Linked DNA regions of Lepisosteus oculatus. The protein of the gene in region 3 purifies or fractionates together with the protein of the main gene of each other region. This does not show direct contact. Links are inferred from orthologs where the notes say so. Each region holds a gene or a part of one and is shown on either strand. Other genes may lie near its edges. The genes, in order: orc4, orc5 and lrwd1.

Region 1 (7,908 bases), on a different chromosome or scaffold from region 3:
GCCCAGTGTCAGACGCCTCCACCCGTGTCCTTCGGCTAAGAAATGACACTTTCCGCAGCAGAAAGGCGGCCAGCCTGAGGTGCAATGCAAGCCTCACCGTGGGAGCGGAAAGCACCCTGGGAGAGTCCAGAGCAAGCGATAAACAAGTGCCATTGCCTGCTTTTGCAATCCATCCTCCTATTAAATCCCTTGGCTCACTTTCTAAGCAAGTGACAACTTGAAGGACCAATGTCAATTGCTACCATTAATAATCATGGCATTTTCTCCATGGGAATGAGGACACAACAACAGCACAGTTTGCAGTGGTGCTCCTCAAAATAGCTCAGACATAGACCCAATGGCTCTGATCTGCTGTTTCCCTTGCATATAACTACAAACTACATCACGGGCCGTGAAAATTCAAAATCATCAGCTATAAAAAGAGAAATTGTTTCTAGAAGGAAAAGGTAAGAAAAATACTGAGACAAAAACATCTAATATAAAGCAATTACAATTTTGTACATCTGTTTGTCCTTCACAGGTTAAAGACTTGACAACCTTACCCCGACAGACATAACTGCACTATTTATGATTAACGAGAGCAGGTAAAATTAAGTGTTATGCTACAGAACAGGCTGGCAGCAATGGTTAAACTTGGGGAATCGTATTCAGTGACCCAAGTGCTGTTTAAGCTCTTAGCGAGCTGAAGACACTCAAGCTCTTCAGGAAGCAAGGCATTTGAATACAGTCCAAGGGCAATCAAAACACTTACTCATACTGGGACTCCACTCCGAAGGGCTTGCTGGGGAGTTTCTGGTGACAGCACCTTTCCCTCAGTATTTTGTGAGCCTGAAAACGAGAAGAAAGCACGCGTTAAACTTCACAGCAACAAAGGGAGTCTTTATTGATTGGCAAACCATTCAAACAGATGAAATAGTAATAATATCGTATAAAAAATCACTTGTTCTTTTTTGTACGATTCACAATGTACAAATATTTATAAGAAAGAAAAGTGAGGTGAAACTGAAAAATTCAGTAATATAGCCGACAGAAAAAAGACAGACAGATATACGGGCATACAGATACATTATCTGGCTATTAATAGCCTCTATAAAGCAGAAAAAATCAAATGTATGTATTAAAATCAAAACATATTTTATATGTTGGAATACCTGGCAGGCACAGTAACAGCAACTGAGCAAAAACATAAAGGTTATAGTTTAGCAACTAATCCTATCCAACAGATTCACATATTCTGCAAGAAGGTTTTCATCTGTCAGGCACTAAGAAAATAAGTAAACAATTCCACTAGTATATAAAACAATCTACTGTCATGGGAAACGCATTTAATACAGAATGCAAAGTATACAATGAGTACTGAGAAACTAGCCTTCAGAAAATAAGGCAATAGAGCTAGATGCCCCTCAGGCCAAACTCAGAACAGAACACTCCGAACATCTTGAGCTGCAGCAGGTGGTAACTTCTAGAGCTCCATCGTTCTTACATTCTGATTATACAGCCTAACAACTAATCCTTGAGGATGTACTCTGACAAGATCAGACAAATTTAGCTTCTAAGAAGCAAAAAAAATACTTTAACTATGCAGAATTTCAGAAATACAAATAGTATTAAATGTACCCATTTTATCTGGTAAGATCCTCTGCGAATTTTTGATGCAGACAGCACAATCACAAGTAATACACAGACATCAGAGGATCACACTAACACAGATTTAGAACGGAGATTACACTTTGAAAAGTGCTGCGATTCGCATGGGCTTTTTCGAGTCAATTATCATTGTTAACAAAGAGGAACAGTGTGAATCTGCAATAATCACAGCAGAAACTAAGAATAAGAAAATAGATGAAGGGAAGTTAGTGTATCTGATGTAAGTCAAATTTCAACATTCTACTTGCAAGAACTTCTTTCAGATGCAAAGCTAGCATGACCTAAATACTGATCGCAGATAAGCGATCCTGCAGATAGAACTAATCTATGCAACACATGGTTTCACTTCATTCTTATCTTTCTGATCTACACAATCCCAATGTTTTGCGGGAGTCCAGATGTGTCAGACTAATCCTTAAATAATGTAGTGCCTACTCAAGAGGCTGCTTTATTTTCCTCACTTAACTGTTCTCTGGCTCGAACTCACCATACATTCAGATGAAGTCCCAGCAAAAACCTGTCCACCTATTTAAAATGGAAGAAACTGGTACCAACGGTAATTATCATCAATAAAAAATACAAACCTGAGAAATACATTCTCCCAGTGTTAAAGTGCTCTCTTTAGACTTTCTTTTACTCATGATGTCATAACCTTGGTGCCTAAAGAAGGAAAAAGACATTAGAGGTCAGCAGGCAGGCAAACTCCCTTCTGCAGGATAAACAGTGCAAATGGATACAGGCAAACTGACACCTCCGTCAGCGAAATGAGCACAGTGGTAAAACCTGCCTCCTCCAGAAAGTCAGGATTTCATCACGATGAGTACATTACATTCAGATGAATTACCAGGCTCTCACCTTGTCGACGACAAATATTTGTCTAGAACGAAAACTATATTGACTGACTTTTCAGATTTTAGATACAAAACAAAAGACGGTTATTGCTTGCTTGTGAGCTGCATTATTGTTAACCCGATTCTTGAACTGGACTCTATGGAAAAGTTATGAGCTGAAGAAGCTATCTTTGAGAGCCTAATCGAACACGTCGGCATGTCTGAAACGTGACTGCGCGTCTTTATCTTGAATTGTAATTACCAGCCCTTCGGTGCTGTGCTCCGACCTGCCAGTTGAAAAGTTGCACGAACCTGACTGCGCCAGACTTGCCTTCGCCTTCAATTATGCTTAACTAGGCATGACGTTACACTCTTGCCAGAACTGTTAAGCGGGCTGAAAATGTTTTAAACCTGGCAAACAGGGAAAACCCGTCTGGGTTGCAAAATACATGCAGGGTTTATTTCACATGCGCTACAATTCATTGGGAAGAACACAACCACCACACGGATACTGTGCTGTACGCAATGTTACCTTACAGTCTCCTCACTACAGCACCTCAACGGCAGGAGCCTGAGCGTGCTTTCATAGATGCTGCATAGCTCCCTCATCTAAAACGCATCCCGGACTCATTTCACAGGGAAAGGAAAGGCGGTGAACCTGAGAAACCGTGGATATATATAATTTTTTTACCTGTGACTTCTCGCTCAGTCCCTAAATCCCGACCATCCCTGCTCTTCCCGCAGTCACCCACCACCAGCACCTGCGATCACCTCTGAACTCTCAACCCGGCGCGTGACGTCAGCGGCGCCCTTCCGGCAGGCTCGCCCGTCGCTTCCGCTGGGTTTTACCGTGCATGCCGGGACACCCCTCTCCTCCGGGCCCCAAGCTGCGGCGCAGGCGCGCTGAAGAGCTCCATCTTTCTATCCCAACAAGCCCAGAGAGAGAGCCAGCAGCAGCAGTTGATGGGGAAGCTTTTTATTTTTATTTTTAAAGGGACAGAACCTCATTTTAACCAGCTCAAACCTTCCGTTTCGCCGCCCTTAGCCTCCCAGGAACTCAACGGGGGCAGGAAAAATGGAGGAAAAGGGTCTTAGGCCTTTATATTAAGGAGAACAATCCAGAAAGCCCTTTTCTCTGTCTCTTGCTTCTTCTTAGCAACACAACCCTCTCCTCTCCCTGTGTCTGTGCTTTGGCCCTGGCTGGAGACATTTCTGAGCAGAGACCTCTCAGTTCACACAGAGAATAAAAACTTCGCTATTTCTCGGTCACTCTGCCTGTAATTTCAATTTCTCTGGCGATGGAAGATAATCAGAGGTAGGTGCGCGTTTTTAATTCCTGGATATATTTTTTTGAAAAATGTTAAATTTCAGCTCCTGTTTGCCCTGAGTGTCTGAAAATGCATTTTATTTATGTGTTCTGGTGTTGGGGCTGTCTGTTCTGCAGAATATTGCTGTGAAGACTACACGCAGCCACAGATTATATTTAAATATTTTTTTCTTAAATGGTATTTTTTTTCCTTTGAACAGTCAAGGTGCATTTTGTTGAAGTTGGCAGGGGATGTGGACGCCTCCTTGAGATTTGGATTTTATCAAGCAAATTAAAATATCACGAAAAGCGGTAGATCGGTGTTCCCGTTACAATGTACCGAAGCCCTGCGTGATTAAATAACCTGGCTCAGGCCGACCGGGGCTTCGGGAGATCTCCTGGAAGCTTTCATCGGCCATATAAAAAGTTTAATTGTGAAGATAATGAAATTTAGCCCGGTTAAATGGTTTGTGTACATCCGAGTGGCCCCATACAGCACTGTTTCGCAGTTAGGTTGTCTACTTCTGAGTCATTGGATGCCATACCACCGGTTGTAAACGGGCACAGCTAATTCTGGATTAAAACCAGCCTGAGCCCTAGTCTCCTGACCGACACCTCGGCTGCCTGTATCTCAGGTATTTTTCAGCTGCTGCTCATTAAAACCTCTCATTAGCTGTCCACGGCGTTGTTTCTCCTTTTCATAGTTTCCAAATGCAAATATTGATGTTGTAAACGGCTGTCCTCTGCCGCCGCTCCAGCAGGACTTCACAGTGAAGGCGAGTTCCATGATGTGGATCAAGATGTTGCTGTTTTTTCTATGACATGACTTTTCTAGAGTTATTCTTGGCAGACTGTTTTTTTTTTATAATCCCTTCATGCAAGGTGCATGTGATGGATAAGCCATGTTAAATTGTGTGATTTGTGAGTTAGGCATGGCTCCTGTATGGTTTCTTATGCCCGGGTTGGTGAAAAAGAATTCCAAAGGAAAAATCGAAGCAAGTGGTTTAAATGTGAATGCAAATCGTACTACAAGAAGCTGTCTCATTCAGAAAATGAAGAGGTGTACCAACAACCCAATCAATAGCCTAGATATTTCTCTTCAGAACTTATTGATATAGTGTTGGCTTTTCCTATAAGAAGAGAAAGTTGGGTGATCTCACACCTACCGTCTGAAATTCAGCTAATGCTGTACCGAATACTGAACAGCGAAGGATCATTGACTATAATGAAAATGTGTGTGAGAGAGCAATTGTTTTACAGGTGTGTGCTCTCTGGGGGTAGACCTATATAAGACCATTCCCATAGACGCCATGTCCTTTAACATAATCAAACATTGTTCACCATTTATGTTATTGTTATTAATGATATTCACTTGCTTCGACAGCAGAACTATTAAAAACATAAAACATGACCTATTACGGCAGAGCAGCTGGGTACAATCATGGAGGTTAAGTTACAGCATCAATGCTTGGGCACACGTGAAATGTACTTCTGTGGAATTTCCCTCAGGAAAGTGGTAAACAGCTGTACAGGACGTTCGCATGTTTGTAAGTGTTTTGTATTCATTACTGCCTGCTTTTTCTTATATTAGTAGGTTGTTCAGTTTAGATGGCCATTTTCCTAATCCTGGAGATAAATAATGAATACTAAATATGTACTCGACTTTTATTTTTGACATCTGTTTTTCTGGAATCTCTTAGGTAGGTGGGTTTAAACTGTATCCATAGATTTTGGTCCTCTGGGCGCCTGTCGAGCTATAGTTGACAAAAACCTCAGTTTTTTCCCTTTCTGTATTTTTTTCATATATTTCGTGCCAGTCATATGGAAAGCATCTGAAAGCAAGGGACTGCCTTGCAATCAGTGTGATTCTTGGCTTAGCCTCACCTGGCCTTGTCAGTTAATAGACAGGGAAACACTGAAGTGCATCTGTACATGTGAGCCAAGCCATAGGCTGCAGTCAGTGTGTTCATAACTTGGATCACCGTACTGTCTCGCCATACGTATGATGCTGTGTACAGCTAGTGCACCCTGATGCTGAAGAAACGCGAGGGCTAGGTGCGGCGATGAGGATGCCTCTGTCCGAGGACAGGATGAGTCCTGCATGTTGGACAGGGGGTTCGTCATCTTTGTAAGGAAGCGGCGCTTGTCCCCAGAATCGGTTTCCACAATGAAAGGCATTTTGTGCCTCTTCTGCTTTATCGCTGTAGAAGGTCAAGGCCGCACCCAGTAATTATTTTCTTTAACATCTTCCCGCAGAGGTGCGAGGAGCTGGGTGTCTCCCAGCTGTTTTTGTGTATTTTTGCAGTGACTGTGGGCTGTGCCTTGTGTGATGAAGAGCAGCCGAGATACACTACTGTCTGTGTGGCATAGAATCAGCTGCTCAGGTTTCCTCCTGTGATTCATCTTCCAGATTTAAGATCCTCTGCACCCACATATTTCACATTTTGATCAACCTTTATTGAGAGCGGGGATTAGAGTCTGCGTTAGGTTTATATTCAAAGGGCTATTTTTCTTCTTTTCTTTTAGCCTGGACTGTAAAATTTCCACACTCCCAGTGCAGCTGTTAAGGCAGATGCCGTCCTTGCTGGCTTGTAGCGCCATGTACTGCTGCTGGTAGATCAGCAACATTTATTGGGGTGTCATTTACAGCCCTCTGTCACAGTCATACACAGTGTTCCACTTAGATTTCATATTGGGGCGCTTTACGACAGCTCAGCGCATTCCGTTTTTTCTCTGACTGAACCCATTGGCAGTGGTGGTTGCCATTGAGTTCTCTTGGTACTATGGGAAGCTGACTTTAATTTCATCCTTTTGTGGAATTTGAAATTAATGATTTTGTATGATATGTCTGATTATAATTCTATGTAATAGAAAGCAAGACTGTTTTAAGAAATTGGAAGTAGCCAGATTTGTCAGAAAACCTACAGGGTAATCTGTGTATTTATCTGTGTATCATGGCAAAATTCACTCAGAATTGTATTCACATGTTGTTGTGATATTGTGACAATTTTAGCTTATTTTAAGATGGTTCACAGCGGTAAAAAATAAAAACACTGGTTTCAAAATATTCAGCAGACCTAAACAGATTTTGATCCAGCATCCGTTTCTGTATGGTAGCTTTTGTTTGATGTGCTTATTGTCAAGGTATATTCCTTCCTTTTTTTTAAATTACAGTAATTAAATTGTGTGTTTCAAATACTTTCAAAGTTAAATTCCTGGGGAAGGACAAGTATGGATCTTTATGTACATCTACCATTCATTCCTAATGTGAAGAATTGGGAAGAGAAGATCGGCGTCCCACTGTTTGAAGTCCTTGGAAAGAGCTTTTTGAGCTGCACGGCTGATAAAAGCTTCTCGGAGCCCAGGTCCTGCAGGTGTGAATCTATTAGCCGACTGTGACCAGAACTTGTGGCTCGGGTTCTGCAGGGGAGGCCAGTAGGTTTGAAGTCAATGAGCTGAGTGGACGACAGTGACCCCTTTGGCTGGCGGGGGGCAGGCGGGCCTACAGGGCCTCGTAATCTCCACCTGAGACCTTAGCTGTGCCGTTCGTGCTGTAAGGCTCCTGGTACTCGCTGGTCTCAGGACGTGCACACGTGATGTTTCTACCTTTCCTATCCCAGTACACGGCTTGTGCCAGTGAGCAAATTCAATTAACCAATGGTAGTATATAAAAGCTTTAAGAACATAAGAAAGGTTACAAATGAGAGGAGGCCATATGCCGCATCCAGCCCATTTGATAGTAGATGATTGATCCGAGGAAGGAAGCCAAGGTATTCGTTTCAGTATTAGCTTGGTAGCTTTCTCTGTGCAGATTCATATCGTACCTTACATATTTTTAGTTTAATTTAATATATATAAAGTTATGTTAATCATAACTTACATCAGTATTTTTGCCAGGTGGTAGAACCACTGAGTGTTTTAGTGCACAAGAGTAGGTTATGGCACAAAAAAAAGCTTCAGAAAGTGAAGTGAAAGTGTTAAATGTTGGAGTTAATATCATCTCTGTTCGAGTACAGAAAGCGTACATGAGAATTTGTCGTGTCTTATCTGATTTTAAAAACTGGATGAAATGAAAAATACCTTTATATTTTAAACGAATTTACATTGCAGTGAACATAATGCAGT
Region 2 (8,335 bases), on a different chromosome or scaffold from region 3:
ACCAGCTCTCAGTGGGAATGACAAGTGGGGAGGAGAGCAGAGTAATGTAGACAGTTCATAGAGGGGGATTATTAGGAGGCCATGATTGGTAAGGGCCAATGAGAAATTTGGCCAGGACGCCGGGGTTACACCCCTACTCTTTTCGAGAAACACCCTGGGATTTTTAATGACCACAGAGAGTCAGGACCTCGGTTTTACGTCTCATCCGATGGACGGCGCCTGTTTACTATACTGGGGCATTAGGACCCACATGGACCGCAGGGTGAGCGCCCCCTGCTGGCCCCACTAACACCTCCTCCAGCAGCAACCTTAGTTTTTCCCAGGAGTCTCCCATCCAGGTACTGACCAGGCTCACACCTGCTGAGCTTCAGTGGGCTGCCAGCTGTGAGTTACAGGGTGATATGGCTGCTGGTTCTCTGTTGCGTTTCGCTGGTGACCCGGGTTCGCGCCCCAGGTGCTGCGGGACGGAACGGGTGGCAGAGGGCACGAGCCCACGCAGAACCGCCACGTTCACACCCTGACTTTCCACTGTGGAACGTACGTAGAGCAAAGTGTGCCCCCAACACGTACGCGTTTTTAAACTGAAGTGTAAATTCAGATTGCACTTATTCATTTCCATCTTGAGATCACAAATAGAAATGGCCCGACCGTAAGCAACAATACCAGACACCTTGCTGTCCCAGTACTTCTGGAGGGCACTGCACATGTTCACACGTATGGCGACCCACAATTAGGTGCACACAGCGGATATGTGGACGTGCACTTGTTTCAGGACAAATGAGAAGATCAGAAGTATATTCATTGTATTGTTCATGCAAACTCCAGTTTAATTGCATACGCTGTCCTGTGATGACACTGTGCCTGGCCAGTCCTGCCGATGACCTTTCCTGGACTTTAAACGTTGATTTGTAGGAGAGAGACAGTGAGCTGGGCACAGACTGGCCCTGCCCCTGTCTCTGCCCCAGACCCAGGCCACCCACCCCTGACCCTGCCCCCGCCCCAGACTCAGGCCAGCTGCCCCTACCCCACCCCAGCCACCCACCCCTGCCCCCGCCCCAGACTCAGGCCAGCTGCCCCTACCCCACCCCAGCCACCCACCCCTGCCCCCGCCCCAGACTCAGGCCAGCTGCCCCTACCCCACCCTGGCCACCCCAGCCCCTGTCTCTGCCCCAGGCCCAGGCCAGCTGCCCCTACCCCATCCTGGCCACCCCAGGCCCTGTCTCTGCCCCAGGCCCAGGCCAGCTGCCCCTACCCCATCCTGGCCACCCCAGGCCCTGTCTCTGCCCCAGGCCCAGGCCAGCTGCCCCTACCCCACCCTGGCCACCCCTACCCCTGCCCCTGACTCTGCCCCAGGCCCAGGCCAGCTGCCCCTACCCCACCCTGGCCACCCCAGCCCCTGTCTCTGCCCCAGGCCCTGGCTAGCTGCCCCTACCCCACCCTGGCCACCCCTGCCCCTGCCCAAGCCCCATCCCAGTGCAGGCCTTCCCCGCCCAAACCCAGCCGCCCCGGCGGCGCCCCGGGCCTACCTGCAGCTCTCGGAGCAGGGTGAGCGTGACGTGGCTCTTCCCAGTCGCCCGGTGTCCGTAGAGGAAGAGGGAGGGGTAGCTGTAGTGCTCGGGCTGCAGGGACAGGACAGGGAGGAAGAGGGGCTGAGGGCCGGCGCTGATCGACACCTGCCCCGCCCTGCCCAGACCCCGGCACGCAGGCCACGCGCCAGTCGCACACGCACACGCACACGCACACGCACACGCACACGCACACGCACACGCACACGCACACGCACACGCCACCCAATCCTCTCACCTCCCCGAACAGCGCCAGCAGCGCGGCCGCCTGCGCCTCTCGGCAGGGCACGGCCTCCTCCGCCACCTGCAGGCGCGCCGCCGGGTAGCCAGGGTGCTGCAGCTGGGCCTGCATCCTGCAGGGACAGACAGGGGGCAGAGGGGCCCGCGGCGGTGAGGACACACTGGACACGGGAGGCGGCCACACGGGGGGGAGACTACAAACCCCAGCTCCCCCGCCTCCACCCTTTATTCCCACGGCCCTTACTGCTCTCCAGTGTGGAGACTGCGCCCCCTACTGGACCCCACCAGAACTGCGGTCCACTCACGGTGAAGCCCAGGTGACTCCTTGATCATCCACAGCATAATCCGTACACTTCTAAAACACTCTTCCAGACACTCCGCCGAAAGAGCTATACCGCCATATGTACAGCCCTGGAAGATGTGACGGCACCCATAGTGCACCAGTACACTCCCCACACACCAGCTCTCAGTGGGGAGAAGAGCAGAGTGATGAGCCCGTTCACAGATGGGGATTATTAGGAGGCCACGACTGGTAAAGGCCAGGGGGGAATTTGGCCAGGACTCCAGAATTAACACCCCTACCCTTTTTCAGCAAAGCCCCGAGATTTTTCGTGACCTATGGAGAGTCACGACCTGTGTTATGTCTCATCCCAAGGATGAAGCCTTTTTTTTTACAGTATAGTGTTCCCATCACTATACTGGGGCATTAGGACCCACGCAGACTGCAGAGTGAGCTCCCCCTACTGGCCCACTAGCACCACTTCCAGTATCAACCTCAGCTTTCCCAGGAGTCCCCCATCCAGGTACTGACCAGGCTCACACCTGCGGAGCTTCAAGGGGCTTCCAGGTGTGAGGTACAGGGTGATATACAGTAGCTGTTGTCTTTATACATTTCTGCTCCTTTTAGAAGCTGTATAGAACAAGCGTAAAAAAGACCAGCTGGAGAGCTGAAGGTTTTTGAGTGAGCATCACAGACACGTTGACTCAGAGAGTCTCAGCGTACTGGATGTGGAAAACAGCAGGCGTCCTTTATATACGATTACGTCTAAGATAATATACTAGCATATTAATACTCATTACTGACCGCTCAAACAAGTGAGTTTACATCAGGCTGCTTACTGAAAGGGAGACGCACTGTACTGACGCACTGCTGTCGATGGAGCTCTGATCAGTAACGCCGAAACGCCGGTGCACAGACTGGTGGAAATGAACTCAGCTCCGTTTTACTGTATCGGAAAGGCAGGAGTGCTACAGTGCAGCCGAAACATTTAGATCACACCAGCGGAGACCTCTGCGGTTCCAGCGCACACACAGACACCCGTCACAGAAACCCTGTTTGTCTGCTAGACCGCCATATCATAGCGCTAACGGTGAGCTCAGTTGCACCACTGGTTCTGTCCCTGCCTCTCCGGTTTTTGACTCGGACCCGACAGTAAACTCCTGCGCCGACTCGGCTGTCACGGCTCTCACACAGGGAACCACTGTCCCAGGAGCGAGTGCGGTACCGCCAGCATACAAGCTGAGCTCTTTACGGTCTCGCTTCCCGTTGTAGCTATTCTGCAGAGCCGAAGTCTCTGCTCACCGAATCTAACGGTGTTTCTTTAAATTATACTAACAAATTCTTAAATAGCAAAGGGCTTTGCTGAATTATTAAGTGATAACATAATGTGGCAGTATCGAAGCTTTTATGCACCACGTTTGGACGAGCTAATATTGCTCAGTCAAACAAAACAACGTCACATACTGCACCTGATCTCTCAGCAATTCCCCCAGTGTCTCCCTGCTGCTACATGCTTTCGCGCCACGCCGAGGTTAGAGCTCAAATTCCTTCCTGTCACATGACAACAGAAAAGTGGCCAATCAGAGCTCGTCTGGAGGCCACGGGCTGCTTGGCCTTCTGGGATTTGTAGTCTTTCCTTAGGATATGCTTGGAACGACCCAAAGACAGCTGACAAATTCCCAGAGAACGCATGCTTGTAGAGATGACTTCATACTGCACTGTATTAATATAAAATAATGAACTGTAGGACATATATCCTTGTTTATGTAATAGATATTATATATACAGAAAACCAAATTGAAAGGTACACTGTTTCATCAAGTAGATTTGGATAAAAATAAAAGGATATAGTATTTGGAAAATCTTGGTTGATACTAAAAAACAGACAACAGTTTGCAGGGATTGACTTATTATAGTGATACAACATCAAAGGGAATCGTGTCACGGATCTATGCTGATTTTTTAAGTACTTTAAAGTCCAATATTGTTCAGAGCATTTTACTCCTTGGACCTCAGCGATTTGAGAGTTAACTCCATGAGAGACAAAGGGCTGAGAAAACACCGGCGCTTTGAGATTATGCACCATGAAAGTGTAGCGGAGCTAGTTCGGACACGGTGACGTCATCGCCCTCCCTGCGCGTAGCAGGGACCTCAGCAGCCTGGGCTGAGGGAGGTCCCCTTTAGCTCATGCGGCTGGTTCCCTGTGGCGTTACGCCGGAGACCCAGGTTCGCGCCCCAGGTGTTGCAGGCCGAAACGGGTGGCGGAGGGCATCAAGCATTCCTGTGCAGGAACTGTGACGGTCACAAAAGGCACTATATGAAATAAAGGCAACAATTTCCCCTGCTCCAGGGGTTCAAAGTTCAAAGTGGAGGAAACTGGCCAGAAGAAAGCTGCCATGAACCGCACATGAGCACTTCGACGTCACCGCATACCCACGAGCGCCTCTCTCCTTGCACTAATTAATCAATTATCATTCCACACACACTCCTCCCTACTTACACCCTCTCACTCCGCTCACTGCTGAGCTTCCCGCTTTTCCCTTTGGATGAATACTCTAAACCTTATCGTCTTTCTCGGCTCTTGAAGTTCTTGCTCTATCCCTGGATCTACGGCATCGCTTGACGTTTCTTGGATTTGGTAACTAATTTGGAACTTTTCCCAGGATTACTCTGCTGCGGTCTTGCATGGGGTCCAAACCAGCTGCCCCCACGGTTGCCTAGACAGAATGATAATAATGAATAATTCCTCACACTTACGCAGCGCTCTTCTGGACACTCCACTCAAAGCTCTTTACAGGTAATGGGGGCTCCCCTCCACCAGTGTGCAGCCCCACCTTGATTATGACTGCAGCCATAGTGCTCCAGTACACTCCCCACACACCAGCTCTCAGTAGGGAAGAGAGCAGAGTGATGAGCCAATTCATAGATGGGGATTATTAGGATGCCATGATTGGTAAGGGCCAATGGGAAATTTGGCCAGGACGCCAGGGTTACACCCCTACTCTTGGGATTTTTACTGACCACAGAGAGTCAGGACCTTGGTTTTACATCTCATCCAAAGGACAGAGCCTTTTTTACAGTATAGTGCCTCCATCACTATACTGGGGCATTAGGACCCACACAGACCGCAGGGTGAGCGCCCCCCACTGGTCTCACTAACACCTCTTCCAACAGCAACCTTAGTTTTTCTCAGGAGGTCTCCCATCCAGGTACTGTCAGGCTCATACGTACTGAGCTTTAGTGCACTGCCAGTTGTGAGTTGCAGGATGATATAGCTGCTGACTTGAACCTGTGAGAGCTGAGAAGAGTCTCAGATGGAGACTTTGTTGTGGAGCCAGCAAGCTGCTCATGTGCTGTGAGAGAGAGGCTGTAGACGTCTAGCGACAAGCTTTGGCCTAATTGTACAATGCACTAATTAGGCCCCATTTAGAATACTGTGTACAATTTTGGCTGCCCCCTTACAAATTAGATATGGCTGCTCTGAATCAGTCCAGAGAAGATCCGCCTAATACATTTCTGGAATTAAAGTTATGTCCTTCTGCGCCAGGCTGAAAAAACTGAACACGCGGAACAGGTCCCCTTGTAGTCTTCTCCATTCAGGAGTAAAAAGACTCATTTCTTTCAGAACTCCCACACTCCTTTGGGAATTTCGAAGAGACCTGCTGGGTTGACTTGATTTTGTCAGAGCCTTTCAGGATCCAGAGACTTAGAGCAGCTGGAGGGGGCGTCTATTGCTTTTCAGCCCAGAGCACAATGTGCTCAACTGTTGCCCGTCATTAAATGATGTTCCTCTGCAGTGCAAGTGCTGGATTAAAAAAATGTAATTTCTCTTGCGGACTGTACCACCCCTTGCTCTTGCGAAAGACGTGCCTTCGAAATTCCACGGCTTCTTTCAGCACATGGGAGGAAAAAGGTTCCACTGAGGAAAAAAAAAAACTTAGAAACCCCATGAGTATCCGAGGAGCTCCACTGTGAACCAGAGCCACCGAACAGAGCTTGTCAGAGCAACTGGTTGCAAGAAGATGAGTTGCCCTCTGACTCAGAGGATGTGAATCAAGGAACAGCCTAGCAGGGGGCGATGCAGGGTAGGGGAGCCCTTTGTACTGCCTCCTTCTCCCCCTGTGGGCGCAGGGGACACCTCTGGGATCCAGATGGCAAAGATCCAGCGGGTGATTTTCCACATTGGTAGGATGGATAGGATAATAAATGACGACTCTGGATTTGTATACATCATACTGCCGCACCATTGAGGACTGGGAAACGAGAGCGATCCGGAGCCCAGTAAACGCACCCTGCAGCTGAGGGGTACAGCCTTGCTGTCCCTTGCAAGTTCCAGACGGCTGCCGCTTCACTGGCGTTTATGCTGCTTCAGCCTCTCTCCTCTGCGCCGGGGGGTTTTCTCAGTAAAGGCGTAGCTGTGCAATAGACAATAGAGATTGAATCTCTGAATCTCACCGTGTGAAAGTCAGGAGCTGTCAAGCTGCGTGCACAGAAGGGTGGGATGTTCCCTAAAAAACAAATATTAGGGTTGAGATGCGTTTTATTCTTTAACGCCCCAACATTCAGTTCCATCCCATTGTCCTCTACTCCAGTCCATTCTCCAGATCCTCAACGTCTTTTCCCTGCTGTCCTTCTCCAGTTACTTCCGGATCATACCGTCTGCATAGGGTCCTGAACTATGCTTCACGGGAGCCTGGACCAGCTCCCCTTACAGGAATGGTGTGCAGGAATCCAGGTTGAACCTACGCCAGCTGGCCTCTCTCTTCCTCACACCCAAACAGAGGTGAATTTCCACTGACTCATCCGGGAAACCCGCTGAGGGGGCCTCCTCAAAAAGACTTTTCAAAACCATAAAAAGGCTACCCTGTGTGAAAATCCTGTTGGTCATTGACTAAGTCTTTCATCCATGGCTGTGTGGGCATATTCTGACACAAATGAGAAAATGACATGAGTGTGAGTTATGTTGATTTAAAGATAATGAGAGGTAGCTGGGCTTTCGATGCAGTGCTGGGAAAAAGATTGTGAATCCCAGTCAGTGGGCCTATACACAGACACGCATTCCCATGTATGATTGCTACGACCCCAAGTGTCTAGGGGTAAAGGGGTGTAACATTTAGGATAATTCTTTTGGAAGCAGGTGGGTTTTGGTGAGGGATTAGGAAGCGTGATAACAAGGGTAAGCAACTAAAGTGGTGCCAAAGGAAAGAAAATAATAAACAAAATGGAGCTGGCTAGGACAGTGAGGGAAAGCTAATCGGACTACAAAAGAAAACCCAAAACACGGTCTTCGGCGTCTTCAACACCCTAGCTAACTGACTACCCAAAACCATACAAGACAAATGGCACTCACCCGTACGAAACTAGTGTACTAATACAAAATCAACCGAGTGTGTAAAGTGTACCCAACAACCTAAACTAACCTTATATACAAAAGTTCACACAAAAACACAAGTGAACCAGGAATAGAAATAAGGGAAAACAAGAGTAATCAACAGGAGCAGGGTACAAAAGAACACAAAAGTTGAACATGTAACAGTGGGGCAAGGTAATGGCAAAACAAGGATGAACACACACAAACAAAAGCACAAAGAAACTAACAAAAAACCAACAAAACAACAAAGCCGAAGCTAATACGAAAATACACACACAAAGCAAAACAAACCAACAAACAAACAAAGCCGAAGCAATAACCAGAAGCAAACGGGACCAAAGTCAAACAAAAGGCCTCTCCTTGCTGAAAACCTCCATGTTATAGGCTGAATAAGATGTGTTCTGATTGGCTGAGAGCTAATTGATGATGACATCATACTGAAAGTGTGGTGTAATGGTGGGCCAATGGGGAAGGGAGAATAATCAAGGGTCAGCAGTGTGGACATAACAGAAAAAAACACACACAGAACACACACTGGGACGTTACAATGATATAGACCTAAAACATAATTAGATCTTCATGAAAGTCTTAATAAAGGATCAAGATAACCTGATTAAATGTATAACACAAGGACAAAATATACACAGTATTTGGAGATAATAAATGATCCAACAGATCCAACAGTGAAGACGTTTGTTAAACCCTTAATATCAACAACTGTTAGATCATCCTTCAGCAGAAATGACTTCAACTAGACTTTTCCTGTAACTAACTGTAACTAAGCAGGTGTGAGCCTGGCCAGTACCTGGATGGGAGACCAGAGGGCACTCACCATGCAGTCTGTGTGGGTACTAACGCCCCACAAACAAATGCTGTCCT
Region 3 (7,845 bases):
CCTTATTTCTGAAACCGACTGCTACAGTTTGTACAAGAGCTAGCAAAACCTGAAATGGAGCGGACAGCTACGCAATGGGAGTCTTACATCATCCCCACTCCGTCTAGCAGTGGGAGGTAAGGGGACCGGAGTAATGGCCACTCTGAACAACCTTGGGGTTCGTGCTTTTTCGGGGTGTCCTCTTCTCGCTCTCCGCTGGCTGGGGGTTTGTGGGAGCTTTGGTAGGGGTCCCAGGATGCCGGGAAAGCGCTGAGGGTTTTTGGCAGTTGGCGGTACGAAGGCTCTTCCGTGGACTTCCCGAAACCGACTCTTTCCCGGGACTCTCCATCGTCCTCTTGGGCCGGCCCGGCTCCGTCTGCAAGCGGGATGGTTTTTGGGGGCTGGCTTTGGGGGGGGCGTCATCAGCCTGTCGCTGTTTTTTGAGGGCCCCCTCGCTGGGACTGGAGGCAGCACCCTTCCTCTTCGCAGGGGTGCGGGGGCCCTTGGATCAAACACACAATGAAACACGGGTTCAATTTTCAAGACCCTAAAAGAAGCGTCATCCCAAAATAATGGAACCCTCTGAAGTTCTCTCTTGCGTTTACAGCCTTAAAGAACATTCGCCCAGATGAACAAAAGGAAGCACAGTGCTGCTGTGGGCAGCATTGCTGCTGCGCAGTGCTGGGGCTCTGGGTTCAATTCCAGACCTGAGGTGCTATCTGTGTGGAGTTTGCATGTTCTTCCCAGGTTTGTGTGGGTTCTCTCTGGATGCTCCAGTTTCCTCCCACAGTCTACAGCCATGCCTATTCTGGGAGAATTGGCCCTGGTGTGTGTGTGTCCGTGTGTCCTGTCTTTCACCCCTTGCTTGCTGGGATAGGCTCTGCTGATTGGGAATCAGTGCTTAGAAAAGGATGGATGGGTAAATTGCTCTGTTAGAAGTACTGCATAAAACAATACTTTTACAAGACATAAAACAAGACTCTTACAGCGCCTGTGTTGTCTTTTACGGCGTCTGGCTCAGCCTGCTTTTTCTCGGTTCCCTCCTCCTTGTCCCCCTGTGCCAGCGTCTGCAGCAGCTCTTTAGCAATCCCCTCCAGCTGGAAGACACAACAGGCACAGCGAGGACTGAGAAATCCGGATACGAATGAACCCCCAGGACCCCCTGGCTGTGAGTAACTGCATTTGCCCAACTCTCGATCACAAAGCTCCTTTCACTTCGAAGGCAACACACAGGGGTGACACACAGCAGCCAGGTCCAGGGGAGGAGGGAGAAACTGCCACACGAATTAAGGCAGATCTTTAGGGAAGACCTGATTTTCCACGTTTTTCAAGTTGAATGATTTTAGTTAGCTTCTAAAAAACAGAATTTGGCCATACGAGCGAGGGGACAAAACAAACACAAATTACACACCTGTAAGTTTCTTGCTCTTTTGAACAGTGCCATGGGATCTTTAAAGTTTTTAACGTTTGCCATGGGATCTTGTGGTTCTGAAGACCAGTGTTCGCAGTCTCCATACTGGGGCACTGGACTGGAAAATTACTATTCCAGGAGGAAGTGCGTCAACCACTTGTCCTCCAACAGCACCACTTAGAACATCAGTCTGCTTTACCTTAGAGGTCTCCCGTTTCAGCCCAGCCTTCCTGAGCTCCTCACATCTGGCAAGACCACAGTCATCTCGTAAGAGCGAAAGTATTCCCAGTAGTTTTACTGCACAGCATCTCCAAGACCTCTTCTACACCTTCAAAGCTAGAGCTCACAAAAGGCAGGAAACCCAAGCTGTGCCGAATGCAAGCCACTCACCCGCCAGGTGGTGTAGTCGCTGAGGGAGCTGGGGCCGTATTTGATCTGCGAGCGGGCTGCCTTCACAAACTCCTTCTCCAGGGCCTGGAGCCTCTCGGCTGTGGGAGGCTCCGGCGGCCGGAAGCTGCTCTCCCACAGTGCCTCCACCTGAGGCGAGGAGAAGACCTGAGACACCTTTTCCACAGACAGACACACAAACCGATCGATTCTTGCAAACGGCCCTTCAGAAACATCCAGGAATCCATGTATGGTTTGCAGGAACCTGTAAGGACTTAACACTGCCCAACACCCTCCCTCCCGAGAGCTGATTTCAGACTCCCCCGTTGTGCTTCGAGACGCTTACCCGTTTCCGAAGATTCGCGCTGTTGACGTGGCGCAGGTGACTGGCCGAGGAAGCGACGTCCTTGCCGTTGAACATGCGCAGTTTGGGCAGCAGGAACATCAGTTTGTAATTGTCGCTGACCTGAGACAAACACACAGCAGGCTCTGGTAATCTGCTTTCTCATCCAGACATGGCCATACACCGAGGTGTGTAAAAGCCTTTTAACTTTGCAGACATTTATCTATTATTGTTGTGCTCCCCCCCCATTTGCAATGGAGATAGTTTTAAAACACACAACATTTACATTACCTACTTTTCCTGAAATATACTACATAAAAAAGTATGTTTTACTGATTCAGATTTAACTGAATGAGATTTAGATTAGTTGCAGGGTACGGCAGAAGCAGTGCTGTTTAACGGGTTTGTATGAGCACGTGTCTGTGTGTGACCATGACCGCGCTGGAGCCTTACAGTGAGGTACAGGTTTCCCTCCAGCCTCAGCTCTTCCAGGGCAGTGAGAGACTGCAGTGACAGCACGTCCTCCATCTCATTGTCGGAGCAGTCGAGGGAGCACAGGCGGGGCAGCTGCAGACCGGCGGGCAGCTCCTGCAGACGGTTCCTGGAGAGGTCCAGCTTCTCCAGGCTGCGCAGCCGAGACAGCAGAGGCAGGGGCAGGTCCGCACTGCGCAGATCCAGCCCGGAAAGGCTGTGGGGACGAGCAGGGGGTCAGGCCCAGGAACACCCACACCTCCATACGCACAGTGGGGTCTGAAAGCATTTCTGCAACACTGGGCCACAGGACTCTTTTTTATTCGTCTTATACAAATCTTTTAATAACAAATGGAGTAATTGTTGGACCCAATCAGACAAGTATGTAAACAATTTTCAAGTGTTTACTAATTTAGAAAATGACCAATAAACTGGTAGGAGTGGGGCTACGCTGGAACTGCATTGATCTCCCCACTGTTGCAAAACAAATCACATGGAGCAATTAAACTGCTTATGGAATCAAACATTATCATCCCGTAAAAACTTAGACCACAGGTTGGGAATTTCAAGGCTGTGACCTTATAGTAAATTACCCTATTTTAGTTTTGTTCTAAACAAGTAGCACTGTGCTACTTGTAGTAAGATGCATAAATACTTTTTTTGTTTTCCCTCAAAACAGCGTTGTGGCCCGCAGGTTTAAAAAACCCTGGAACAGCCCAAACTGCCTGGCAGTGGGAGCGCTGGAGAGAGGGGGAAACAGACACCTGGCCAGAGCAGACACTTACTTCAGCCTCCTGACCTGCTCCAGCTTGGCGCATTTGGGGGAGCCCCTCTCCAGCAGGAGCTTCTCCGTGATCTTCGACATGGCCGGTCCAGCACAGCTCGCAGTCGCCTGCACAGACACGGACAGCACGGCCGTGTGAGTCCTCACCCCTCCGCCTATGGGCACCACTGCGCTAGGGCGGAGCTGCACCCGGGTGCGTGACGCCCACTAGAGGCCGGGGCCCCAGAGACGTGGGGACAAAGCGAGAGATCACCTCATAACAAAAGAGCCAGAGGGAACTCTAAAGGTGTTTTCAGGTTTAAATTAAAGGCTTTAAAAAAGGGGCGTGAAACCATATTTTTCTTTTTCGCGAAAGTCGTTAAAGTCAGCCCTAACGCAGGGTGCTTAAAAAAAGAACACCTCTCGACCAACTTTGCATCTCAAAAGCCGGGTGCCCAAGCTGTAGGAAATGTGACTGCAGAAGAAGAAGAAATGAAACACGCCCCCAATGAGAAGAATACAGGGACATTATCTTCACTTTAAATTACAAAAGGCACCGCTTAGTCGTTTCGTTTCGACTACGGCTTTTCGCAATCAACCCCAAAAATTAGCCCCTGCTGTGATGAAACTCGCAAAAGGACTATGGCGAGACCGATCACATACTGTATATAATACTACTGCATCTGCGAGAAACTTCGCGATATTAAAGTTATCTTCATTAAACTGTCAGACATCTAATGCACTTTACAGTTAATTGATATGCACATGATTTTATGAACAGACTGAAAGACCCATTTCTTTGAAGCAAATGTGCTGTGCGTGAAACATTAATTTGCGTGTATACATAAAATAGGCATCTCAAAACTTCCGCCAGTAGCACTTCATGAATACCCCTAAGCACCGGCGACGATTTCAATTCCAAGAAAAAAAAAATACACAATGAGTATCATCTGCCCATTCCATCACCAAACACGTTTCAGTCACTCATACTTTCAAAAAATGATTGATTGGTTTAACAATGTCAGATTCCGGATAAGAGACACACCAGTTGAACGATTCGATGATTACAAAGGTTAAAGCAGCGAATTAAAAAAAGGCAAGAGGCTTTGCAGGAATGTGATAAACTTACTTTCCAGCTGTAGACGTGCAAAAGTTTCCCGGGAAAATTAAACTTTCACCTTTGACCCGGACCGATGACGACACCTAGCACAGCAGTTCCGCCATTTTGTGTGTGGCAAAGACGTACATGAGGTCACATGGTTTAACCCGAGGGGGAAAATGAAATAAGAATCGTATCTTTTTTATCAACTAATTTGCAGTGCTTTATTTTTCTGTTTGATTGCATGATATTGACGGCAATTAATTTGCTTTTCCTGCTCTTTCTAATTATATTCAATAACGACAAAATGTTTAAACGTAAGAAAAGCTGCAAACGAGGTCGCCAACCGTAAATTTGTCCTGCATCCTGAAGAAGCCAGAGTTTGGGCTTCAACCACTCTGCTGGGAGATCTGTTCCAGACACAGACAACTCTGTACGCAAAGAAGCATTTAGTATTTTTCTTAAACTACTTCCTTTCAGTTTCCATCTGTGAGCCAGTGCGTCTTAAAAATAATTACAACACCCACTAATATAATTACTTAAACTACGTACAACCTTACACATGAACTATACACCTTTCTCAACGAACATAATGGAGAACAAAGCCTCAGGCCACCTCCAAAAGCAGGAACATGAACATCACAGCACAAAAAACTGGGATCTATCTGTCTGTTGTGCAGTAATCACTCCAGGTCTGACCTCCTCATGCAGCAGTGAAGTGGTCATAGCCACACTTGAAATTTCTGTGTTTCACCATTCAGCATCCTGTTCCTCTACAACGTTTAGTTTTACCAAACAAAATACCACATTCCTCAGAAGGCGAAGACTCCCTCAAACCACCGCGTGCACGTAGGCTCCATATCCACCACGGGACGTTCAGACAGAACACTGATTCATCTCAGACCTCAAATCAACAGTTTAATAAATACAGTCAAGCACGTACAAACAGCTGAACACAATTTCTTTCAGAATCAAGCTGAGACAACAGAAGAGAGGGATCTCAGCTAAGCACATGGAATATCTTCTCGGGGAGATCCGAACACCTGGGCCACACACCCCTGGGCTCCAGGCCAGAAGGTTTCCGCCCCAGCTGGACTCCCAGGGCCTGCTACACTGGGATCCCCTGAAAGCTGAGGGCTACGTCCAGCAGCTGAGAGCCGAGGTTCTCCTGCTCCCCCCCGGACAGGAACTCCGCAGACAGCTCCCGGAAGGTCACGCAGACCCGGCGGTCCCGAATGTCCTGCCTGCGGACCGCGTGCTCCCACTGGTGCCGCGCCTCCCCGTACAGCGCCAGCAGGGCCCGGCGGGGCAGGGGCACCAGCACCCACACGCCCCCCGCCCCCGCCCGCTCCCGGCTCATGGTGAGCACCGTGGGGGACAGCAGGTTGAGGGTGACCAGGCGCTCGCCCCACAGCCAGGCGTCGTCCAGGTGGGGGTCGATGGCGGAGCCGCGCTGGGGGCTGTAGTCCAGGTTGCACTGCTCCACGGGCTGGAAGCCCCCCAGCAGCGGCGCCCGGCCCATCCTGCGCACCAGCTCCCGGCTGCACGGGGGCAGGCCGCTGAAGCCCCCCAGTCTCACCCGCCGCTTCTTGAAGTTCACCTTGGGCCCGAAGTCCTGGGGGGGAGGAGCACAGTCACTGGGGCACCACAGAACGATGGTCTGACGGTGCGGAAAGACACGTCTCTTATAAAACCCCACACGACGCAGAGACTGGGGAAAGATGCTTGCGGAAATATCAACGATTTTCTGAGATTTAAACTGGACCCTAGAAATCTGCTTCTGGACGAACAGCAGAGGCAGAAAAGTGCCCCTTGGGTAACGTCTGAATCGCAGGCCTGAACCAAATCACCAGAAACCAGTCGAAGCTGGACAGACCTAGCGTTCAGATGTTGAAGATCTCTAGGAACGAAATCTATCTCATGGAAAGAAATACCCACAGAATTAGCCATCAATTTGTAAAAAGATCATCAAAACTGGAAAGCTATGTTGAGACTCTCAGTCATGTGATAGGAACAAAGATGCAACAGACTATACAAATGATGTAAAAAGTAATTCAACACTGTCTGCTTCTTTTTTATGTATGTGGGAAAAAATAATATCATTAGCCCCCGCATAATGACAATAAAGGATGTAAAAAAGCAGATGCAGGGTTTTTCCATGAATCAGCTGTGCATGTCGTTTCCTGGAGAGTGCTGTTCATTTAGAGAAGCACTCGTCGCTGGGGGAAAGAGCACACGGAGAAAAGACACGAGTCACCGAGCGCCTCTCCTGCTACCGGACCTGTTTCCTGCGGCCGGACTGCGAGTCCCTCCAGGCGTCCCGGTCCATCGCGCTCACCAGCTCCTGCTCCTCCGCCTCCGACACGAAGTTCTCCCACAGCAGGACCCCGGGGAACGGGAAGGACTCCTGGACTCCTGGAGCCTCCGCTCTCACCGCCAGCCCCGAGGACGGCTCGTACACGAAGACCCGGCGCGGCTGTGTGGCCAGAGAAACCGCCATGATGTTCACACCTTGCACGGCTCGCTCACGACCTGCCGCAGGGCCTTACCGCCACGCAGCGACACGTGACACGTGCGCATACAAACCCAGACAAACACAAATCCCCCTTTAATGCTGTGCTATACATCTTAACACCTTCACGAGTAAAACAAGAATGTTTAGGAATATTTAAGAGTCTTCTAAAGGAGGAGAGGGGTAATCTGAGAACAGCACCAACAGAGTGCTGGAGACCGTCGGGGAATCCAATCTCTTCAGGCATTTTTTATCAGGGGAAAACAACAGCAAAAAAAGAATTCAGAAAGTGCTTTACAACTCTGCAGTCAGGAACTGTCCAGCTACTATAGTATAAAGATCTATTTTATGGCCCCATCTGCTGGGGATTGTGTCCAAATCCAGTTCCCCAGGATTCTATCCAAAAATTGCTTTAATAAATACAAGTATCCCAACAATAATGATGCTGAATAGAAAACAAAGAATCACATGGAAAAAAGCTGCATCTCAAAGCATTATACAGCACATCAGTTTGCTGTTTCCATTTATTAATGAAAAATTGTGCAAATATAACTTTTCAGATCTTCTCTTAACTGTAGGGTGAACTGCATTTACCAGATGGTGGTCTATATTTTCAGATGATTGATAATGGAGTGTATTATTTAGTCATGAATGTATCGAGTACATTAAAAAGGGGGTAAAGTCTTTTTTTACCATTCGGACTGAAAGCATTCTTAAATGGATTAGTTGTATACAATCCCACAGCTCATTTTTTAAGGTATCCTTGTAGCGGCGAATGTAATGATCAAAACAAAGTAGAGATTCTGAAACTTGATTTTACAGTTTAAATAATGCCAAAGAGCGAAATCTGGTGTATGAAACTTCTCAGTACACGTACAGT

The links.
Region 1: the proteins of lrwd1 (region 3) and orc4 purify together in Homo sapiens (affinity purification with mass spectrometry; 3 studies listed by BioGRID and IntAct, with this or other methods). This does not show direct contact. The link is inferred for Lepisosteus oculatus from reciprocal best matches to the Homo sapiens genes LRWD1 and ORC4.
Region 2: the proteins of lrwd1 (region 3) and orc5 purify together in Homo sapiens (affinity purification with mass spectrometry; 4 studies listed by BioGRID and IntAct, with this or other methods). This does not show direct contact. The link is inferred for Lepisosteus oculatus from reciprocal best matches to the Homo sapiens genes LRWD1 and ORC5.

Annotation. Positions count from the first base shown.
Region 1 is NC_090707.1:2,791,881-2,799,788, forward strand, and holds the start of orc4 (origin recognition complex subunit 4), read right to left. Parts: upstream 3,285-7,908; 5' UTR 3,169-3,284; intron 2,308-3,168; 5' UTR 2,289-2,307; coding exon 2,232-2,288; intron 829-2,231; coding exon 752-828; intron 1-751. UniProt on the Homo sapiens protein: Component of the origin recognition complex (ORC) that binds origins of replication. DNA-binding is ATP-dependent. The specific DNA sequences that define origins of replication have not been identified yet.
Region 2 is NC_090702.1:48,312,125-48,320,459, reverse strand, and holds the start of orc5 (origin recognition complex subunit 5), read right to left. Parts: upstream 3,622-8,335; 5' UTR 3,555-3,621; exon of another isoform or gene 3,550-3,554; intron 1,919-3,549; 5' UTR 1,918-1,918; coding exon 1,804-1,917; intron 1,620-1,803; coding exon 1,527-1,619; intron 1-1,526. UniProt on the Homo sapiens protein: Component of the origin recognition complex (ORC) that binds origins of replication. DNA-binding is ATP-dependent. The specific DNA sequences that define origins of replication have not been identified yet.
Region 3 is NC_090721.1:1,366,034-1,373,878, forward strand, and holds the start of lrwd1 (leucine-rich repeat and WD repeat-containing protein 1), read right to left. Parts: upstream 3,463-7,845; 5' UTR 3,457-3,462; coding exon 3,377-3,456; intron 2,809-3,376; coding exon 2,574-2,808; intron 2,244-2,573; coding exon 2,124-2,243; intron 1,928-2,123; coding exon 1,781-1,927; intron 1,077-1,780; coding exon 966-1,076; intron 482-965; coding exon 152-481; intron 1-151. Other genes in the region: alkbh4 (alpha-ketoglutarate-dependent dioxygenase alkB homolog 4), read right to left, coding at 5,562-6,068, 6,735-6,929. UniProt on the Homo sapiens protein: Required for G1/S transition. Recruits and stabilizes the origin recognition complex (ORC) onto chromatin during G1 to establish pre-replication complex (preRC) and to heterochromatic sites in post-replicated cells.